4 linked regions of the Schizosaccharomyces pombe genome follow. The protein of the gene in region 4 binds, or shares a complex with, the protein of the main gene of each other region. Each region holds a gene or a part of one and is shown on either strand. Other genes may lie near its edges.

What was found.
Region 1: mrps17 (region 4) and rsm25 share a complex: the UniProt entries of both Schizosaccharomyces pombe proteins name them as parts of the mitochondrial small ribosomal subunit.
Region 2: mrps17 (region 4) and rsm18 share a complex: the UniProt entries of both Schizosaccharomyces pombe proteins name them as parts of the mitochondrial small ribosomal subunit.
Region 3: mrps17 (region 4) and mrps16 share a complex: the UniProt entries of both Schizosaccharomyces pombe proteins name them as parts of the mitochondrial small ribosomal subunit.

Annotation. Positions count from the first base shown.
Region 1 is NC_003423.3:4,290,396-4,294,154, reverse strand, and holds rsm25 (mitochondrial 37S ribosomal protein mS23), read left to right. Parts: upstream 1-2,192; 5' UTR 2,193-2,466; coding exon 2,467-3,129; 3' UTR 3,130-3,259; downstream 3,260-3,759. Other genes in the region: PPR repeat-containing protein Ppr7, read right to left, coding at 1-558; nucleoporin Rae1, read right to left, coding at 3,683-3,759. UniProt on the Schizosaccharomyces pombe protein: Component of the mitochondrial ribosome (mitoribosome), a dedicated translation machinery responsible for the synthesis of mitochondrial genome-encoded proteins, including at least some of the essential transmembrane subunits of the mitochondrial respiratory chain.
Region 2 is NC_003421.2:723,534-727,292, forward strand, and holds rsm18 (mitochondrial 37S ribosomal protein bS18m), read left to right. Parts: upstream 1-2,456; 5' UTR 2,457-2,476; coding exon 2,477-2,977; 3' UTR 2,978-3,259; downstream 3,260-3,759. Other genes in the region: protein kinase Wee1, read left to right, coding at 1-1,334; SPOM_SPCC18B5.05C (phosphomethylpyrimidine kinase), read right to left, coding at 3,497-3,759. UniProt on the Schizosaccharomyces pombe protein: Component of the mitochondrial ribosome (mitoribosome), a dedicated translation machinery responsible for the synthesis of mitochondrial genome-encoded proteins, including at least some of the essential transmembrane subunits of the mitochondrial respiratory chain.
Region 3 is NC_003423.3:553,959-558,304, forward strand, and holds mrps16 (mitochondrial ribosomal protein subunit S16), read left to right. Parts: upstream 1-1,866; 5' UTR 1,867-1,934; coding exon 1,935-2,011; exon of another isoform or gene 2,012-2,440; coding exon 2,441-2,621; intron 2,622-2,887; coding exon 2,888-2,920; 3' UTR 2,921-3,290; downstream 3,291-4,346. Other genes in the region: sre2 (membrane-tethered transcription factor), read right to left, coding at 1-166. UniProt on the Schizosaccharomyces pombe protein: Component of the mitochondrial ribosome (mitoribosome), a dedicated translation machinery responsible for the synthesis of mitochondrial genome-encoded proteins, including at least some of the essential transmembrane subunits of the mitochondrial respiratory chain.
Region 4 is NC_003423.3:1,165,666-1,169,394, reverse strand, and holds mrps17 (mitochondrial 37S ribosomal protein uS17m), read left to right. Parts: upstream 1-2,097; 5' UTR 2,098-2,190; coding exon 2,191-2,463; 3' UTR 2,464-2,875; downstream 2,876-3,729. Other genes in the region: DNA recombination protein Saw1, read left to right, coding at 346-708; rRNA processing protein Tsr2, read right to left, coding at 1,061-1,333, 1,595-1,861; rib4 (6,7-dimethyl-8-ribityllumazine synthase), read right to left, coding at 3,148-3,585. UniProt on the Schizosaccharomyces pombe protein: Component of the mitochondrial ribosome (mitoribosome), a dedicated translation machinery responsible for the synthesis of mitochondrial genome-encoded proteins, including at least some of the essential transmembrane subunits of the mitochondrial respiratory chain.

The sequences.
Region 1 (3,759 bases), 3.1 Mb from region 4:
TTCTAAAAAACGGAGGCAGAGTTCAACAAGAAAATCTTCTTTTTTATTTTTTTTGGCGACATTAATCCAAATGGGAGTTATTTTTGCCAACGTTTCAACCTCCAGTTTTGAATACACAATGAGGCAAAGATCAGGATTTTTATCAAAACATTCGGCAAACCGTTTTTTCACGTAAATTAGGAATGGGTTTTTATGTTTGTCAAAAGGCACAGTAACCTTTTCAGTTTTATTATCAGCATAGACTTCACTGACTTTTCGGATAATGTACATTAAATCGTTTTCACTAAGAACAGCACCTGCGCTGGAAGGCAAACACTTGTGAAATAATTGATTTTCTGCAAAACTTGAGAGAAATGCTTCGTTTGAAGCAGATTTCGAGTATTTATGTAATTCATCAGAAGACGCTTGTCGAGGCCTGCACCCAGTTACCTTTTCATGATGAACGCTAAGCTGGTTTAGTGACCGCACAACAAGACGATTTGGGAAAGGGATTTTAAATTCCCTTAAACGTAAATGTTTTGTCCATGCAAAAAGTAGTGGAGATACACAATTTCGCATCTCTTAGCCTGGCAAGCAGACAAAAGTCGTCCCCAAAACGAGAGGCGTGGAAACGAAAAGACGCGTTATGAAGAAAAGAAACGATAATCAAATTAAAAGGATCACTATTAATGAGAGAAGGGGGTACTTGATAAAAAAAGAAAACGAGAACTCGATACGAGATGATGCATATACTTCCGTTCCCTTTCTATATGATGCGATAATTCAAACATTAAACTGTGCGAAAAGGCTCAATAATGCATCTAAACATTTCATCCAAGGTTTCCAAAAAACAGAAGGTGGTATAAATACAGCTAACTGAGCAAACCTTCCAACGTTGCGAAGTTGGGTTCTAAGCAAAACCTAAGATTGCTATTTCCTCATTAACAGGCAGCGTTAGTGAATTAACGGAAACCATCGCTATAGTTTATTTACGTTATTTTGTTATAATAGCTCGTTATTGTGTAAACATGGAAAGAACATTCATGAGTAAAAAAGAGGTCCCTTAATATAATTAAATGCAGAATATCCCTCTAAACTATTAAACTATCATTCATCGATCCTCTTAAGAATCGCTAATGAATAACGATCAATCGGCCATCATCATATATAGGAATGGCATTGAATGCAACCAGCATTTAGGCACGTTTGTTGACTCATTAGTATTTAATCAGCATTTACAATATCATCGAATACACTTTCGTCAAAGAACACAAGTGTAGTCTATTTACCTTACTTCTTCGTTATAAGCTACAGATTAACCTTACCTAGGTTATATAACACTCATCATCCAGAAGCGAATATCGTATTCTAGCATTGAGATTGCCAGCTAGCAGGTAAAATCAAATACGGAGTATAAATATGACTGCGTTATAAGTGAAGAAATGAAAATAACTGCTAAAAATGTATGAGCAGGCAAGAATTCAAGTAGTTGATGTCCATTCATAATAATACTGTACGATCAATGGCTTTAAATATTTGCAGCACTTCATTTTCACTTCAGAACATGCTAGGTGTAGCGGCATTTGCTGCGCTAATTTACTCAGTCAGTTTATGACAAAATCAAATTAGCAAATACGCATACAGCTTCACAAATACAGTACAGCCATTTAATTTGCTTTACGAAACATATAATTGATTTTGTCTAATTAATCTTAAAATTTTTTTGGAGTTTTTTGAACCATTGTTATTAATAATTCTAACGGCTGCCGGTAAATATTTAATGAAATCAGTGAAAATTAAAAGTATAAAAAAAAAAAAGTTTATTCCATAACAAAAAATTTTTAAGTATTAAAAAATTTTTAAGCAGTTTAACTTGCTTTCCTATGGCGTTAACGATTGATAAAAAAATATAAAAAAATAAAGGCAATAAACTCTATATACCTTTAGCAATTATAAAAAAAATATCTAAAAAATAATAGGGACTTTCAATCCATAAAATTAATTTAGATGAACAATCGCTTAGTTTAAATTCCGAATTTACAAACAAGCCATATCTTAGCAAAAAAAAGGCAATAGATGTGTTTAAATTTATAAATAACTATTTCATTAATAGTGTTCGTATCCTTGTGTGTTCTGAAATAAATATTCATAATATCTTACCATTAGGTTATACTCAGTAGCTACTAAGATGAGGCACACTAGTACCGTCAGCTAACACTAGCTTGGCCAGCCCAATTCCTCTTGGAAGCCATTTTCACCAAAAAAGTTGGTTTCTTGCGCTTATAATTCACTTTTTTAGCAGACTATCCATATAAGCGATTGTTTATTACCTCAAGTCATACTCTCCATTATTTATAGCGCCGTGGATGTGTTTTGCATAATTAACCCATCTCAATCATTATTCAATCCTTACTTCCATTTTCACGTTTCTATTACTGATTATTTTACTAATATACTATTTAATAACTTTTTCAGGAGGAAGATCCAATGCCGAAATTTAATGCAAATGGTTTGCTACGCAGCTTTGCAGCTGAAATGAAAAAGCCATGGACAGCAGAGTCTTTATGGTACGAAACGGTTGCTAAACATCCCCCAACCTTTCAATATGCTAGACGTATTGTACCATTGTACGATCCAAATAAGGTAAAATCCCGTGGTAAACGGTTACGAAAATCAATGTATCAGCCTCAGGAAATTCAATGGCCAGAAGATAAACTCCGTAAAAGGTTTTATCGAGATCATCCTTGGGAACTAGCAAGGCCTCAAATCATTGCAGAAAATGACGGTAATGATCAGCAATATTGTGATTGGAGTCACATGGATCAACCGCGCAAAGCATTATCTGGCGAGAGTGTAGTGCAAAGAACTTTATGGCTGATTGAAAACTCTAACATGCCTGTAGAAAATGCTTATGATCAAGCAAGAAAGGAATTTTATCACCTACGCGCTGAACAAGAAATTCAGCAACGCGTTGCCCATGATCAGGCTCAAGCATTGGGTGCTGTATTTACAAAATCTGATCTGGAGTTGGGCTATGAAATGGATCAAAATGCTTTAAATTCTTGGTTTGATAATGCTTCACAATACGCTGAGGCTAATCGTACAAAGTTCACAGACCCGAGTGTAGATATCTCTAAGACGACTCAGTAGTATTTAAATTCACAGCTGATATATCATATTGTCTCCTCAAAAATTGATTTTTGTTTTGTTTTTTTTTTTTTCAGAATTTTCTTAGTACTATCCCCTTTCAAAAATAAAACAGATATTTTTCATCTCTTTATGTCTTCAAATTAAAACAATCTATCAGAACACATTAAATTTCTACCATCTATTTGAATACATATATATATATTATAAATATTATTCAAAGCTATAGCAAGCTTTTCAGATGACACTGCCGTTTAGCCAGCTAGCGAACTTTCGCTCCAAACTTTTAAAAGTGCTTTAAAAAAAGTTCATCATTTATTGAGCAGCCAACATAGATAAGAAGATGATAGCGTCTATACCCATAACACTTTTTGTCAGGAAAGGAAAAATTTTTCTAATATTAAACGATTGCCAGTAATTGATTTTAGTCATGAATCACGAAATGCCACTTTTTTTCCCAAACAAAAAGTTAAGATACATATCAAAAAAACCAAACTCATGCCTCAACAGGATTGGTCACCATCTCACCTATGTAGACTCTAAAAATTACCATCATTTACCTTCCTTTCTTAGGTCGAGGTTTTATTTCGTCTTGCGGAACAGGGTGGAGCATGATTTTATTGGGCAATTGCG
Region 2 (3,759 bases), on a different chromosome or scaffold from region 4:
CCGACTCTTATTTTATTCAACGGGAAAACACTCCTACAAATCACAATTCCATTCCTACTATTCAGTTGGAGAAAAGTTCCATGGACTTTTTGAGGTTCGATCCTCCTCCTTCTGCTGTAAAAACTTCTCACAACTATGGATTACCATTTCTATCTAATCAGAGGTGTCCCGCTACGCCTACTCGTAACCCATTTGCGTTTGAAAATACTGTTTCCATTCACATGGACGGTCGGCAACCTTCGCCTATCAAATCGAGAAATAATAATCAAATGTCATTTGCCATGGAGGAAGAAGCTGATGTATCTCAACCCTCTTCTTCAAGCTTTACATTATCCTTTCCTTCTGCTCTCACCTCGTCCAAAGTATCATCATCTACTTCACATTTGCTTACACGGTTTAGAAATGTTACTTTACTAGGAAGTGGAGAGTTTAGTGAGGTTTTTCAAGTTGAAGACCCTGTGGAAAAAACTTTAAAGTATGCAGTGAAAAAGCTCAAGGTAAAGTTTAGTGGACCAAAAGAACGTAATCGACTACTTCAGGAAGTCTCTATTCAACGAGCCCTTAAAGGCCATGATCACATTGTAGAGCTTATGGACTCATGGGAACATGGGGGGTTTCTTTATATGCAAGTCGAATTGTGTGAAAATGGTAGTTTGGATCGTTTTCTTGAAGAGCAAGGACAACTTTCAAGGCTCGATGAATTTAGGGTATGGAAAATATTAGTAGAAGTAGCTCTTGGGCTACAGTTTATTCATCATAAAAATTATGTTCATTTGGATTTAAAGCCTGCTAATGTTATGATAACATTCGAGGGTACCTTGAAGATTGGTGATTTTGGAATGGCCAGTGTTTGGCCTGTTCCGAGAGGCATGGAAAGAGAAGGTGATTGTGAATACATTGCGCCTGAGGTTCTTGCTAACCATTTGTATGATAAACCTGCTGATATTTTCAGTTTGGGTATCACAGTCTTCGAAGCTGCTGCTAACATTGTTCTTCCTGATAACGGTCAGTCTTGGCAGAAATTACGTTCCGGTGACTTATCAGATGCTCCTCGACTTTCTTCAACAGACAACGGTTCATCTCTTACTTCTTCTTCTCGTGAAACACCGGCTAATAGTATAATAGGCCAAGGGGGACTTGATCGCGTTGTAGAGTGGATGCTATCTCCAGAGCCTAGGAACCGACCTACCATAGATCAAATTTTGGCAACTGATGAGGTTTGCTGGGTTGAAATGCGTAGAAAAGCCGGAGCCATAATTTATGAAGGTATTCATGGATCTTCTTCTAACCCCCAGGGTGATCAAATGATGGAAGATTGGCAGGTGAATGTTTAAACCTTTTAGAGACTCTTGTTCTCAATGTTTATTACTGCGAAATTGCGAAATAAGGGAATGGCTTCCAAAATCTGTTTAGCTTCATAAAAGCAAACACTTTAATTATTTTTAAACGAAAAGTTTAGTGATTGGTGCTTATAATTAATTTTGGTTCATTAAATGCTTTTTTTTTATTTAAGGATACGTGTCCGTTTTAACCGAACCCTTAAATTTTAAAAAATTTTAAAAAATTATTAGATGATAGTTTTTCTATTTAATTTTTTGCCTTTTCACCGGATTATCTATTTGGTTTTCTTCAGTCAAATATCCGGTTAATTATATCTGAGGCAATATGATGATGGCTATGGAAACATGCCATTCAGTTCTTGATATGGGGAACTAGAATGTTTCCTTAATTTAAAGCCTTGACGCCGCACATACTGTACGTGCTTTGTCTACTGAAAAAATGTTAGTGAACGATTGTTTTTTATATCGCAAATCCTTTCTCTAACATGTAGACTCGGCTTCAGAGGAGTTATTATTCCTATTTTTCATCTATTTTATTGTCTAATTTCTTATGTCACTCGTTTGTTATCGACTTGATATGTTGCATTTACTCATCTTTGCTAGCATAAAGTTCGAATCCCGACTGTTTATCCACTTTTTTTTGACTTCTGTTTTCATAATAATTTAGATCGATCGATGACACTGCCTATTATTCTTGTACATAGTTTACGATCTTGCTGAATGGCAAATAATTGGTTATGTTTATGGAAAATGCCACGATTTACTAACGAAGTTTAATAACCCGTTAGATTTTTTATTATTATCATATCATATAATAATTAGTAATAATGTTAACGTTATGCTTAGTTCCACTTCTGTAATTTTTAATTTCCCTTTTTTTTTATGCTTGTGAAAGCTGTGTATATGCTCAAGTTTGTGATGCCTTCAAATTAGTATAGGATTTTAATGACCCGTTTAACACTTCATATCTAAATAAACATTTATTTTGAAACAGAAAAGTTAGAAAATTCAGGTATCATCACGTTTTCATTTATCAGACACAAGCATAAGCTATAAACTATTTAACGAGTGTCTCATTATTTCACTAAACACCTTCAAACATTGAAATATTACTTTGACAACAGCACGGGAGAAAAATGCTTGGGAGACGAATATTTTCTCCAGCTCCAAACAGAGGATTTATTTTATGCAATCTCATACAATCTAATAACTCTACGCGAAGAGGGTTTTCGGACAATCGAAAATTTAATGAGAGAAATTCTGAAGCATCTTCAAATGTAGGATTTCAGAGAAGAGTTCGCTCAAATATTCCATCATATTTATCAGCCTCCGTAGAAGAAGGTGATATTTACTCTCCCAATGATTTACTGTTTGAAACGGTAAAGGCGAAAAATCAAGCCAAATTCTATGAACCAGTAAGAGAAGATTGCTTTAAGACGGTGAACGAAAACCCTATGAATTATTGGAAAAACCCCGTAATATTGTCAAGATTCGTTACTGAACTTGGTCGTATTAAACCCAGAGGTGATACTGGCCTAACAGCAAAAAATCAACGACTTCTTTCTAGGGCTATCCGAAGGGCTCGAGCTGCTGGTATAATGCCGACGAAATACAAATCAGTTTATTCGGAAAATTAAATTGTACTGAATATTAACAAGGACGTTCTATATCTCATTTCATCACATTGGTAGATATACTTACCCACTGTCCCTTACTTTTTTTTTCTTAAGGAACGATAAACGATCTACTTTACTTTTTAAATGATTAGCTCACGTTAATTAATATTTCAGGTGTACTTTGGTTTTGAATAGTCTTTTTTGGATTAAAATATACATGACACAAAATCATAAACCGCTGCTAATATTAGTGGCTAACATTTTTTAATGGCTTTAAAAATATAATATCTTTGTTATCTTTAATTTTTAATTTAGCTTGATTGAACTTTTTTGTAGGAGGAGCGTTAGTCGATACAATGTATTAAAAAAATTATCTAGTAGTAGTTATTTTACTTATCTAAAGAGGACAGAGAGGGAAGAACAAATAATTATATGCAAAAGAAGAAAAAATCCATCTAGAAAAGAATTGGGTTTTATAGAACGATATTAAAACGATGAGTGCATCATGGAGCTAGTTCAAAATATATGCAATAGGGCTTTTCATGAAGGTATATGAGATAAAAGAACAGAAGTTAAATCAGCTTGTGGTATGTAATTCTCCGACTTTAACGAAATTAGAGATCCTGAGAACTTAGAAGAATGACCTAAAGCTGTAAATAGCTGAGCACTCTTATAGGGATCTGAACTCTTTTTATGAACCCTTTGAATGGCCCACTCGATTGAATATAAAGCTTCGTGAATGGCTTGCAAAGGTGGTATATTACAAGCCAGATTCGATGCAATGGCAGCTGTAAGAGAGCAAC
Region 3 (4,346 bases), 610 kb from region 4:
ATGAAGAAGATGCTGAAGACGAAACTATGGATGGGTGCTTGAAATCCATGATATTTGAGCCATCCACATAACTGGATGGATCAGCGTTTTCAGTGGGATTGGAAATCGCAGTGTTTTCGAGTTGACGATGAATATCCTTGAGCGACGAGTGTTGGGAAGGACACATAGCGAAGCGAATACCAAACAGTCGTTTTGGATATGAGTCAAGGAGAACGAAAGGTATTTATAGGTATTTAAAGAATGAAAAGTTTCCAAGACAAAAAGAGAAAGATTAAAAAAAGAAAAAAGAAAAAACACTCAGTAGTAATGGAGAGAATTCGAATTTCCGAACTTCTTGTTGATGAAACGCTAACCGCAAAAAAAAATTTAACAATACACCGTTTAATAAACGAGAAATTAGAAGAAAAGCGGGATTATTTCAAAAAAGGAGAGGAAGCGAAAACTAAAGGAAAGATAGAATGGGTGGAAATTGTAGTAGGAAAGCAAATAAAATTGGAACCCAAGAAAACGCCTATAGTAGTTGTCTTTGAGCGAAGGAAAGTATAAAACAACAAAAAATTAGGTTTTTCCTCTTTCAAGTTGAATTATTATGAAACCGGGTTGAACAGGAATCTTCAAGGTAAGCGACCCCAAGAACGCACTCGTTCACGAACTAACCAAGTAAACGAGACAAGATGAACAAGCTTGACAGGATAAACAATGAAAGAAGAAAAACTTATAAAAACTAAATATATAAAGGGGAATATAGTAAAAATTGGCCCCCAAGCTGCGTTATAAGGAATTGACAGCAATTATATGATGACGGAGAAGAAAGGAGTAGAAACTGACGCAAGGCAGGATGTAAACGTCAAATCTTCAGGTGTTCCGATATGTAATGAGTCTTAAAACTGCTACTAGCCTAAAACCTAGCACCGTTCATCCACAAAGCGATGTCCAAAGAAACGTTTCAATCCGATGTTCCTATTTTGCTTGAATCCGTCGACACAACACACTGACTTGACAGTAACCGGGAGTACGATGGCAAAAATCAATGTCAGTGGATCCAGCAATTCGTAACAACACCAAAAGAATGGGCAATTCAGAACAAGATCAAAATGCTAACTAAAAGAAGCCTAGGTGTTGGGAAATCTCAAAATACCAATTAACCGAACTCCCCAAACAACGATTCGTACGAAAGCAACAAAAACCCTCTAAGATTCAATCAATAGCTTTCTTGATCACTAGAAATTTTCAAGAACGGATGGAGTTAAATATTCAACAGGGATGCGCAATCTACGCGAGTCTTAAGTTATGTTTTGCTGTCGCTAAGTAGAATTTATGGGAGGGAGGAAAAAGCTAAAAGTAGACGAAGCCGCTTAAGCTAAGGAATGTCTATAGCGATTAACATTACGTTATAAGGATTGCGTGGTGAAAAGAAGGTTGGCAAACTACGCATTACATGAGTAACGTTCGTTTATGGTATCTCGTATACGCATTCTACAATCGCTTACAGTATTCCTGTTTAGCAAACTCGATACAAGCAAAGCATACCTTGAACAACGTGGAGAATGCTCGCTTTGTAGTATTCGTGTTACCGTAATTCGTGCTGTATCTCACTCCGGGGGTAGTGAATATGATCAATTCACACTGCTTATAAAGAGAAATAGAGTCAGCAGGAAGTAGAAAGATAAATGGAAGGAAAAGAACGTAATTTCTATCCCAGAAAACGTTTGAAATGATCTTTTGAAATTATGTTTTGTTTGTAAGTATGAACGAAAAGCAAGGCACAACGCTATTTTATAAACAACGGAGTGCACAATACGATACGTCCATCTGCTTTCCATCCTTGATACCTGCATTGTCTTCGTGTTTACTCAAGTTGCTCTTAACCATACTCCTACCACCAAGTGGGAAAGACGGGATTTGTAGGACTCGTTGAAAACCGGCTCTTCTCAATGGTAGTAAAAATTCGTTTGGCGCGTCATGGCGTCAGAAATAGACCTTTTTACCATATCGTAGTTGCGAATGCATGGTAAGTAGGATGAAAACATACCTAGACGGTTGTTTCGTGTTTTACAACACTTGTAGCGGTTCACGTAAAGGGGAAAGTTTTTGTACAGGATTTAGTAAGGGAGATGGCTTGATGTGGGTTATGAAAGAATGGAAGATAAAATGCTAAAAGACTGCTTTTTTTTGACGGTTCCTTTGGCTCTAAATTGCGATCTTTTTTAGAAGCTTTAGTTTTCAGGTATTCCTGGATGCTCTCATCTATTTAATCTAGTCTTTCTACATAGTATTCAAAATGCCAAGGACACCAACCACAATTTTTCTTATTAATTGACTATTTATTGTGGTTTGGCCCCCTTGGCCTCTATTAACTGTTTACATATCACCTGTACATCCTTTTTTTTCTCCTTCATCCATTCCTGTCTTTTGGTTCGACTTTGTTAACTCAATATAGGAAAGCACCTCAAGCCAAACCTATCGAAACCATCGGCACTTTTGATCCCATCCCTAAGAAGATTGATTCTCAGGACTCCATTCCTCGTATAAAAGATATCCAGCTCAACGTTGAACGTTTTAAATATTGGATAAGTGTAGGAGCACAACCATCCGACACCGTCCGCTCTTTAGCTGAAAAGGTATGCCCAAGCTCTCTTTATCTATTTTTATGACTAGTCCAAATTCGTTAAACTTTCTTTCAACTCTCTTTTTTGACTAAAATTTTCGACCCGCTTGCGATATACCGCTCGGGTGATTTTTCTCATGTTCCCTAACTGCCCGGCTTTCCGAAATGGAGTGTAGGATCTCATCCCTGTTTTCGTTACGATTTGGCTACTAATTTACTTGTTTTACTTCTTTCTATCAATCTATCAATTCTTACTAACGTTACTTTTTTCACTTTTAGTTCCAGTTGCTTCCTAAAAAACCCGTTTCTTGAAACTCACTATAATCGTTATTGCTCAAGTCATGACATTTCTTTTTTACGACCACTTCACAATGTCTAGATATCTTTAACACATTTTTTATTTTTTTTTACACTTTATCTCTGTGATCACGCTAATTACCTCTCTCAACTAAATTTCATAATTTTTGACCGATTTTACCCTTCCGTACTGTTTTTTTAAAACCACGTTTTTTGGCTGAGTGCGATATTTGTTTTCTTTACGATTCTTTTTATTACAATATCACCTTTTTTTTTTTAATTCCTTCTCCACATTATCGTTAGCGTAGTGATATCTTAATTTCTAAATTTTTTAAAGTGTCTATCTATCTGAGGTTATGCGCTAGTTGAAAGCGCTCATAATTTGATGCTATCCATTTGTAATTACTTGTTGCTTTGTACTTAAAATTGTTTGGTAATGAGAAATCTTGGTACCAATATTTTGCCTTTGTAATTTTTAGCTTTTGCGTTTATGGTTAAAATGGATCTTCACTTTATACTGAAACTTCATTTCGTTTACTGATGTTATACCCTTATTTTTTTAGAAACAAATTAACAGCTTCATTTCAAATATTTAGGTTAATATCGGTGTATCTATTATTGCTTAGATTTTTGGACTTTCCGTTCGGAAACGGCAATGCGCTTTGTTGCTTTCCTGATTTCCTCATTCGTTTAATTGGAACTGAACACGTTCATTAATAGCCAATTGCAATAGTTGTACAATTCTAACAAATCATTCCTGTACTTCCGTTGAATTTATAAAAGACTTGTCTCAAAGGATTTAAAATCGTTCAACAATGAATATTAACAACTTAATCGTTTGTAACAAAATATTATAAATGGTGAACTAGCCTTATAAGCTAATTTATTAACTGTACCAGAAGCAATTTACTTTGGTATTATTACCATATTTCATCAACCAGTCCAACTCTACACCACTACATTTATTCATGCACCGAACAGTGTAATTTTCAATTAATGCATTAAATACAAGCTAAACATCACAAACCAAATAGTATGTAAAAATAAACTTGAAAAAGAAAGCGAGAAATCACTTAATGAAAAAAAAAAATCTACTACCAAATCTCGAAATGAGTATAGATCAAATTGCAATGCTTTTTCCCTGACATGCATATGTGTAACCGACATATAAGTAATAAACTAGTATACCGCATAGATAATCTAAATGAAAAGTGCTGATTTCGTACTAAAAGCCAACCGTTAAAAGAACCTTTAGTAAAATCGTTGATCGTAAAACTTCAGTTGAACGTTTAAAGAGCGAAAGATACCTATATACTTTCAAGCATTATTTTAAGCCCTGATTGCACAACCAAGAGAGCTTTTGGGCCAATCCTCCCAAAAGTAGAAAAAAGGACACTGTTAAGGACGGAAAACTATAGCAGCCCGAAAAGCACACATAAAT
Region 4 (3,729 bases):
CTGCTCGTTTGCTATAATGAAAAAGACACCATTTTGATCGTTTACATCTCGATATATTTATTTGTTGTTAGATTCTCTCTTTTGAAGGATTATTGTTGTTCATATACTTAACTACTTGGCTAGTTAAAAAATAAATAATAAATAGCATTCCTAAAAAGTCGTTATGTTTACGACTCATTTACTTGACTGTATTCCCATCTTAGAATTGAAATTTATAAGTCGTCTTTTGTTGTATATAATTTAACTTAATACATGGAGTATTGAGAAATTCAAAGAGTTTTGTCATTTGCTTTTTTTGGCTATGGTTGACCATCCTCCCGTATCTAACCAGACACCAAGGTGCAAATGTGTTCTGTTGAGAAAATTGTGAGGTTGAGGCATAACTTGTTGTGTCACGTTCGAATTCATTTTAAAACAAAAGAAGACCTTGATATTCGGGCTTTCCTTTTTTCCCTACAGCGTGAATTGCATGCAGTTGCATTTCTCAACCAAGGATCCATCCGCACGCTCTACGAGAAAAGAGTAGTGGATATTACGAGTGAATCGGTCCAAAGCCATGCAATCATCGAAACTGCTAGAAATTTTGCACTACCAAATACTGCTGAAGAGGAGGAAAACATGGATCGAAAGCCAGAATTGCAGTTGAGTTTTAAAGGATCAATGACTAGTAAAATAATACATATTTATGTACAACCATTCGATTCATGAAAGAATGTATTTTGCGCCTTTTTACGTCTGCATGACTAAAATACACTCTATTTACAGCCTAATCTCATAAAAAACAAGTATTAAAAATTTGAGAAGTGAAAAAGCTGCTCAATTTAACTCGTATTCGTATTTTGGCGGATCACGTTCTTCTATACTTTTAACTACATCTTCTTATGACACGGATTACAAAGGCTTAAAAAATATAAGAGTTATTTCGATCCCAATTTTCAATTTTCAAACCAAAAACTTGAATTTTTATTATCCCCCAAAATACAAAAAAGATAAAACCAATTGCTCCCAGCAATAATGCTCATTTAATGATACCAAAAGATATAAGAATAGTACATCCTCTTTAACGACGTCTTTTCTGGACAACGGTGAATCCATCATCATCAACAATGGGTCCCTGCTGCTTTTCCTGCTGATTTTGAGCAGCTCCTCCATCCTCAGCATCAACAATCGTTTCGTCTTCTACCAATACCGGAGGATTTGACTCTTCTCTAGTTTTTTCCTTTCCTTCCTCCTTTTCAAGCAATTGTTTTCCGAGACGCTCATGGATTTCACGAATAGGTTCATAATTATCTTCGCAAGCAGCTTTCCACACATTAACCAAATCTTGAGCCAACTAAATAGACTGTTAATAGACGTATCACTTGATAATTATTTTAAATGCTAATAGAAGTAAAAAATTTTTAATATAGACAACAGAACGCAATATGTGTATAAACTCGAGCTTTTGACTAATATTCCAATATTTCGTCCTCAAACTTAAATCATTTTTTCGGTGCCAATATATATATACGAATCTTCAGTCTCAAGCAAGCTTGTTACGTTCTTTCTTGTTTGAAAAAAATCTTTACCTAATTTAGTATTGGTGAATACTTACGATATAGGGTGAGTCGTCTTCTATTGAACCAACATTGAATTCATCCTGCAGGACTTGAAGAATCAATTCTTCAACGTCCCATGCTTCCACATCGCTCGTAACTGTAATATAATCAACTAAAACTCCTGCCATCCAGTCTCGTTTATCGGCGGTATCGACATCGGCCCATTCTTCTTCAACAGCCTGTTTCATAACAGGCCATGAACATAAAAGAACACCGACAGCATATTCAAAATATGTCAGTCTCTTAGATGGGTCGTCAAACATGGCGAAAACACAGTGTCAATAACCCTCGTTCTTCTTCTCTACAAAGTCACCCTACCATAAAGTACTTTAAAATAAAATACACATACTTTTCCGATCCTCGTTATGTTGTTTATCACATTTATATATTATCATTAATTGACTTAAGGAAAGCTTATTTATGTTAAATAATTATAAGGGAAAAGACGCCGCTTCATTGCACATTTGTAAATAGGGCAATGTCAAAACTCTCTACTGCTAAAACGGTGCGCATTGATAACTTAGTTATTGTGGGTATTTAAAGGATTAGACTTACTTACTTTTCTTGTTTAATCCTAAAATTACTCTGAAGAATGAAGCTAAATTATGTGGGAATCGTGATTTCTCGTGCAATGCCAAAAACAGCGAAAGTGCGGGTTGCAAAAGAAAAGTTCCATCCAGTGGTGAAAAAGTATGTCACCCAATATCAAAACTATATGGTTCAAGATGATTTAAATTGTAATGTTGGAGATGCAGTTACAATACAGCCATGTAGGCCTCGGTCAGCGACTAAACGCTTTGAAATCATAAAAATCTTAAGCACAGCCAACCGTATGAGCCCAGCATCGGAGATTTCGAAAGAGTAAATAAAAAATCCCCATTAATTTTTGATGATTCCTAATGATTTCGATTGATCCATTGTGATAAGTCTTTCGCGGTGGTCATGAATATTGTAAATCGGTGATTGACCGCTCTTTCTTAACTTGCCAATTACCTGTATACACCGATATCGATTTTAACTGGAAATTTTTACATTCACAATGGCTACGTAATGTTGCAAATTGTAGATTGTGCATCAGAAGAGTCTCAAATCACATTCATTTCTAAAAGAAAACTACTCTTGTAGTACCATGTTTCCTGCTCCCAGCATTCAATGCCTTTAAATTTGTTTACAACTATGTCAATAATACTTCTGTAACATCTTTTTTTGTAAAAAGGGCAAGTGATTGAACAAGATGCATATAGACAGTAATATATTCAAAATAAAGCTTACAAAACATAATAAGTTGGGATTAAGTCTTAAGCAAATTTAAAACATCGTATACATTAACCCATAGCTGTATATCTTAACAAACTGGGGAATCATGAAAATACGTTGCAAACGATTGAATGAAAAACATACTTGTTCAACTAAGACGGTGCTCATAAGAAAGCGACAATGTATAAAGGATCATGACTAAAGCTTTAGCATGTCAGTAGGTCCTTTCGAAGAGCAAAACAGTCAGTAGCATATTTTATTAACAAAAAAATGAGCAAAGGATTCAACTTAATTAATACAAAGCTTTCAATCCCATCTCTACAGCAGCTGATCCCCAATCATTTCCATGGTTATGGCCACCATTCAAACCTGCACGATAAAGAGCTTGCTCTTCATTTAAAACTGTTAATAGACCTAGAATGACGGGAACACCTGAATCAAGGCCAACGCGCATAAGACCATGAACAACAGCTTCTGAAATATATTCAAAATGCATGGTGGAACCTTTGATTAAAACGCCAATGCCAATAACAGCATCATATGTATTGCGGGCGATGGAAGCACGAATACCTTGAGGAAGTTCCCAACTTCCCGGAACACTTTCAATGTCAATATTCTCCAACTTCACATCATGTTTTTCTATCATGGTCTCAACGGCACCCTTAACAAGAGGCTCAATGGCTTGAAGATTCCAGCGGGCATGGACAATAAGAATGCGCAATTCTGGTCCCTATAAAAAAAATTGATTAGAACTTTTGAATTAACTATTTTCACGAAAAAACTGCGTGAGAAAGAGGAGAAATTTAAAAAAAAAAAGACCAAGCGCTTTTGTAAATAGAACACTTAAGCAATAATTATATCGTGTAGAAAATAA